Linked DNA regions of Arabidopsis thaliana. The protein of the gene in region 2 interacts with the protein of the main gene of each other region in a pairwise test. Each region holds a gene or a part of one and is shown on either strand. Other genes may lie near its edges. The genes, in order: AT3G29034 and AT4G37220.

Evidence for each region.
Region 1: the proteins of AT4G37220 (region 2) and AT3G29034 interact in a protein complementation assay, tested with the Arabidopsis thaliana proteins (one large-scale study listed by BioGRID).

The regions. Positions count from the first base shown.
Region 1 is NC_003074.8:11,029,324-11,032,699, forward strand, and holds AT3G29034 (uncharacterized protein), read right to left. Parts: upstream 1,584-3,376; 5' UTR 1,281-1,583; coding exon 1,020-1,280; 3' UTR 712-1,019; downstream 1-711.
Region 2 is NC_003075.7:17,513,246-17,516,883, forward strand, and holds AT4G37220 (Cold acclimation protein WCOR413 family), read left to right. Parts: upstream 1-1,796; 5' UTR 1,797-1,860; coding exon 1,861-2,036; intron 2,037-2,125; coding exon 2,126-2,233; intron 2,234-2,314; coding exon 2,315-2,385; intron 2,386-2,470; coding exon 2,471-2,724; 3' UTR 2,725-2,917; downstream 2,918-3,638. Other genes in the region: AT4G37210 (Tetratricopeptide repeat (TPR)-like superfamily protein), read left to right, coding at 1-210, 298-388, 474-747, 823-1,176; AT4G37230 (Photosystem II manganese-stabilising protein (PsbO) family), read left to right, coding at 3,179-3,383.

The DNA.
Region 1 (3,376 bases), on a different chromosome or scaffold from region 2:
GATCTTTAAGCTCCGCTTTAGCTTTGTTACGTTCTTCATCCAATAAATGTATAATGCTTTTCTTAATTTGATAGAATGATAGTCAATCATGTTTTTAAGTTCAAACACAGCATATGAAAATGATGTTTCCTAAGTCCTTATGTTATGAGACTGATGGCATTAGCATATATATTGTATACATAAAGAAATTGTGTATATTTACAAAGTCAAGTGTCTGATGGAAATTTTAAAAAAATATTTATCATAAAATAAAAAACACATAAGAAGTCAAATTAAAGCGACCCAATAACGAATCTAACGCAAAATTATATACGGCCCGGACATTTCCTCACGATCGTCGTTGTGTAATGGTGTTTCATTTTGATAATGTAGTCGAAGGTGGTAATGATTTATTAAATACTATACACGTAACGTTGCTAAGTATCTAATTATATTATATAAAAATAAATAGAAAGATAGGTGATGATCGTTTTTATTTAGTTAAGTTACTGCAGAAATAATATTTGTAATTATATATATTCTTTGTGGTAATATGTGAAATATTTTAAGTATACATTTTAGATAGCGTTGATTTGTTCAATATGTATATGACTATCATGATTTATTTTATTACATGTTTTACATCAAATTTAGTTTCTTTTCCTTAATTTACAGCTAAGACATGTACCAAGTCAAAGTCAACTTTTTGTACCCCAAAGAAAGTCAACTTTAGCCCAATATGTTGAAGAGTATCATTCCGTTCATATTACTTGCGTGACATACATATTATCAAGGATCAAAATTACATTGTTGCATCCTTTTCTTTCAAATTTGTATCAAAGATCAAAACATATTCTTACAAGCCAAAAATAAACAATAATCCGTAAAAACAATATAGTGTTCGTCACTTTAATCAAAAGTCCAAGATCCAACAAGTGAAATAAAATATAAATGAAACAAGATGCTCATAGATATGTATATTTGTCATATACATAAACAAAAGAAGAAGGTTTGATTTGCTTATACAGAAATATTGTTATTTAAAGAGAGATGAAACCTTCACTGACAAGCAAGCCAAAGAAGAGGACAAAGAGGCCAGCGCCAATAGACTTGCCCGGATCAACATATGTCTGAGAATAAGCACCGAGGGTTAACGCACCTCCAACGAGTCCGATGACCAGAGATTGCATGTTTCTTCTGCTCACGCTTCTTTGCCTCGGCTTCACCTTCTCTTCTTGATCTACAACTTCTTGTTCTCGTTTCTCTTCTACTTTCTCCGTCTTTCTTCTTTCTCTCACCATTTTTAAGATTCTTTGATGAATGAAGAGATTCTGATTATGATTTTATGATGTTGGTTTGGTTGTGATTTTGTAATTATAAGTTAATGATGGAGACAAAAATGTGGTCTTTTGGGGATTGCTTTGAGGCCTTTTGATAGACAGAAAAGTCAACTCCTTATAGAAGAGTAAGTGGTCGGTATAGATCCAAGATTATTAATTTAATTACTATTTTGTTATAAAAAAGCAAATGGTGAGAGTTGAAGTTTAGATATGATGTATCATGTTTACACTTATATAATGTTAGTCTAAAAAATAAAATAAAAAAATAATAATTATCACTATATAAGTTATTGCCATTCTGTCTAAATTTTAACAGGTCAGTGAATTAAATTAATATTATTAACAATAAGATATGTTATCATGTATTATCAATAAGAAATCTACTAAGACATGTTATCATGTGCGTAGGAGTTTTGGCCCAATAAATGCTTGTGCACTCCAAGAACATCACAAAGGATGAGAATGAGATGCATTCTTGCTCTTCGATTTCTTAATAAATGTATAATATTGACTTTTCTTGGTTCAAAAGTTTGTTTTTATCTGTTGCATCTTGAGTAGGAAGAGATATTTTTGCTATCTTGGATCCACCTACCAATCTTGTTTCTGACCATTCTTTCTATTCGTTTGCAATTTGGTTGCTGCTAAGTTGGATCAAAACGGCTTTATTCCATAGTTTCAAATGCCTAGTGCTACTGGCAAGATAAAGCGAAGGAAAGTACGCAGAGCTTAGAGCTTAGATCTTTTCTTAGTTTTGTTTACTTACCTATGATGGAGTTTTATAGGAGTACGAATAACGCATGCAAGAAAACTGAACCCCTTATAGATATAAAGATGTACCTTTAAAAAATAAAAATAAAAGATGTACCTTGACACATAGACTAATTGGAAAACTTACAAAAGGCGTTTTTTTCTGTGTTTTTTTGATTAAAACCACAATACCGTACCAATCACAATACTTTTAACTGATTTGTGTTTTTCGAAAAAAAAAAAGTTTGCGATTTAATTTGTCAAATGAACAATACATTGGAACGCTTTCCAAAAGAAGAAAAACTCTTTACCTAGCGGTTTTAAGTAAAAGTGCATTCCAACAAAGAGATCAATTAATTTTTTAACAGCTGTTTATATTATTATTTTTGTGCCAATGTTGATTTCAATAATAGAGGAAACTAAACCGGATAAACCGGGTACAAAGAAAGAGATAAAGACCAGTCTTAGCTAGTTTGTTTTATTTAATTAAAAACTATGAAAATGCAATTACAGGAAATAGAAACATAACAATGCTTTTAGAAATTTTGACAATTATTATCTACTATAAGCTTATATACGTTCTATAATCAATTTACTTGTAAAAAAATTACTTGTAAAAATGATTTTTTTTTTAATTTTCCATAATGAAACTATTCAACGGATTTAATAATATGTATGTTAAACTTTAAAATGTATATTTTGATTTATTTGTGTATATGGTTTATAAATATATGTTATTGTTTATTTATTAACACAAAAAATAAATAATGATTAATATATATATTTATATATATATAATCTATAATCCGCACCACAAATAGATTTTTCACCAATCAAACATTATTCCGTACTGCTTATTTTGTACAAACCACAATTGTCCCACAAATATATTTTTCACGCACTTACCGCAGTTAATTCGTACTGCACGGTCATAATACTTTCTCCGTACACTAAAAACCGCGGTGACCATTCAGATCCATAGAAATCATCCATCGTAACTGTAACGAGACGACGACCACCACTTTTCATGGACCAAACGTTTTTTCTCGGTATATGGGCCAATCTCGTCTGACAGTTCATTTTTCTGGAAGCTTAAATATTTGTTTACTGATTCTATAATTCACCATATAATCTTTTTCTTGTGTTTGTTTTCACTCATACGAACTAACAATCGATTCACGGTTAATCACCCATCATAAGTTTGCTTTACTTTAAATGCGCTTAACTTTAGAGTTTTCTTTAGATTTTTAATCAAAAAAAAAAAATAGTGCATTTTAATAACATATATGACCAAATCAATTTATTTAAAT
Region 2 (3,638 bases):
CTGGTGGTAAAGACCAAGGAGAGGATGGTGAAGATTGTCAAGATGATGACCTATCTGATGCTGATGGTGATGCTGATGAAGATGAGTCTGATTTGGATATGGCCTGGAAAATGCTGGACATTGCTAGGGTTATTACTGACAAACAGTCTACTGAGACAATGGAAAAAGTGGATATACTCTGTTCGCTTGCTGAAGTGTCCTTGGAAAGAGGTATTTTTTCTTCCTTTCACCTTTGCATTGTCTTATTTTCTCATGTCAGCTATTGGTTGGTTTTGAGTTCTGTTGTTTACTATGCAGAGGACATTGAGTCTTCCCTGTCTGACTACAAGAATGCATTATCCATCTTAGAGAGACTGGTTGAGCCCGACAGTCGACGCACAGCTGAATTGTATCCTTGTGGTTTCTTAAATTGTACCTGATTTTCGTTTCTGTCAATTCAGTTGTTGGATTATATCTTAACTTGAACGTTTCAGAAACTTCCGCATCTGCATTTGTCTTGAGACTGGATGTCAGCCTAAGGAAGCAATACCATATTGTCAAAAAGCTTTGTTAATATGCAAAGCTCGGATGGAGAGGCTCAGTAATGAAATCAAAGGTGCATCTGGTTCAGCAACTTCCTCAACCGTCTCTGAAATAGATGAAGGCATCCAACAATCATCCAATGTTCCTTACATTGATAAATCTGCTTCAGACAAAGAAGTTGAGATCGGAGACTTAGCTGGTCTCGCTGAAGATCTAGAAAAGAAGGCAAGTAAACTAAACCTATCAGTTCATTAAAATATCTCTAAACCCATACTAATGTCCAACATTTTTTTTCTGCAGCTTGAGGATTTAAAACAACAAGCAGAGAACCCAAAGCAGGTTCTTGCTGAGCTAATGGGCATGGTATCAGCTAAGCCAAATGCCAGTGACAAGGTTGTTCCTGCTGCTGCTGAAATGAGCTCTTCTAGGATGGGAACTGTGAACACCAATTTCGGGAAAGATTTAGAGTCGCCTACAGTCTCAACCGCTCATACCGGTGCAGCAGGAGGAGGAGCAGCATCAGGTGTTACTCACTTGGGTGTTGTTGGAAGAGGAGTGAAGAGAGTTTTGATGAATACAACCTCGATTGAATCAAGTGCATCAAAGAAACCAGCTCTAGAGTTTTCAGACAAAGCAGATGGCAACTCCTCTTGAAACCGGAAAAAGGTATAAAAATTCCTGTTACTAGTGAAGTATCTAACCTAAGAAAACTGAGAAAAACATTTGGTATCTTCCTCATGAATCTTCCAAGACTAGATTTTCAGGTTCATGTTTTGTAATGGAGTCCGTACTTGCTACTTTTTTAAATCGCTGAGATATTTTTTACTTTTTATTCTTGTTTAATCAGTCTTATTTTTTCAAAGTGTTTTTTAGTTTAGGCACAAAAGCAGAATCTTATTATCACATTATCAGTTGATAATCATCTGATGAGAAATAGTTCTTTGGAGATCTTTTAGGGAATTTTATAAGTAATAATTAAGGGATAATTGGATATCCTTTATTAAAAAATGTAGGCTACTTGTAGAATTAAAAACTGGAATCTTATAATATGATTAGTATAATAAGATTACGCTATATCTGGATTCTGGAGATATCATAGATAAGCTCTGTCTATGAAAACGAGACCCTTGGGGAAGCCACGTGTCAAATCTATCTCTGTCACCAGCGAAGCCTACGTGGCGAGCAGCTCCTAGAATATCCAAATTCACAACAGTATTTTTTTTTCTTTCGTTCTGATTCAACAGTTGTCACAAACAGCCAAGGTGTTTTGTGATTGGTTATAAATACTCTGCTATGTGAGAGAGTTTACTACATTCACAAACAAACTAAAACTTAAAAATGGGAAGGGGTGAGTTTTTGGCCATGAAGACTGAGGAGAACGCGGCTAACCTGATCAATTCCGATATGAATGAGTTCGTCGCCGCTGCAAAGAAGCTCGTGAAAGACGTAGGGATGCTCGGCGGGGTAGGTTTTGGCACGTCAGTCCTCCAATGGGCCGCTTCAATCTTCGCTATGTGAGCCAAAAGACAAAACCATATAACCTCTCTGGTTTTTGTTTGAATCATATATTGATATGATGGTTCTTATTGTTTTGCTTTGACAGTTATCTGTTGATATTGGATCGTACCAACTGGAAAACCAAAATGTTGACCACCCTTTTAGTACCATACATCTTTTTCACACTTCCTTCGGTTATCTTCCAGTTCTTTAGGTAATCAAGAAAAACTGTTCTTTAACATGATGTTATGGAGTTCTTTTGAAAATATAATCCATATTCGATATAATTTCACAGCGGAGACTTTGGGAAATGGATTGCTCTCATCGCGATCATAGTCAGGCTTTTCTTCCCTAAAGAATTTCCAGGTCAGAACCAGCAGTTTTCATGACTTAACATTAGTTTGAAACTTTGATCTTGAAAATCTTCTTTCTTTTTTGCATATAAATGTAGAGTGGCTAGAGATTCCGGTAGCATTGATTCTTATTGTGGTGGTGTCGCCGAGCCTTATAGCTTGGACACTAAGAGAAAGCTGGGTTGGAGCAGTCATATGTCTAGTAATAGCATGTTACCTTTTCCATGAACACATTAAAGCTTCAGGTGGATTCAAAAACTCTTTTACTCAAAAGAATGGAATCTCCAATACCATTGGGATCGTTGCCCTCCTCGTTTACCCGGTTTGGACCATCTTCTTTCACATCTTTTAAGTCAATCCGACCCATTGGTTTGTAGACACATTCAACATTTTGTGTCTTCAATTCGTTTTCAAGGTTTGAATTTTATAAGGAGCATTTGTGTTTGAGAAAGTCTTGAATATAAAAAAGAAGTTTCAATCGTGCACTGCTGACTTGTAAGATTGTTTTTTTTTTCTTGTAAATGTGTGACTTGTAAGATATATAAATAAATTTGCATATTGGTTGATTTGTTGAATCAATCTTGAATATTGTAGACTTTTTAATTGATCATGACTAATAGTTGTTTTTTGAAAATTGTTTTTCATTTCATTAACACCAAACAATAAAGCAACACAAATTTCTATCACCTCCTAGCATTGAACTACGTGCCGTTGTTCGTATCCAAAAGTGTATATTCTTGTAATCATTCACCGTCAAAGCTCAAGTAGTTAGTAGCACCACACCAGATTTCCAAAGCACAAAGCTCATGACTAGCCTTACCTACACACTCGATGAAATCGAAGGCCCTTTCGAAGTTGATTACGCAGCAGTGACAGTACACAACTTCCTGGTGGGGAGCGTGTACCGTTCTTGTTCACGATCAAGCAGCTCGTGGCATCGCAGAGGATACTTTGGTCCCAAGTCGATCCCTTCAGCATTCACCCAAGGCCACGTTGGAAATAAATCTGATCGTAAAACACAACATCTGCAGATTATTATCAATAAAAATTCAGAAATCAATAAAATTCACTCTGAAAACGCAGAAAATCTAAGGTAAATTCATAACGACCTTTTGAATTTCTAGTGTCGAAGCTGTATTGAAGAAGAAGAAGAAGATTCCGAAGCTAACAAAGGAGAAGACGAGAGTGGATTGATTGCTCCTCTCTCCTCTCTGATGATATTCGTGCTTCTACACTCACAGAGATACACTGTTTATTATTGTTTTC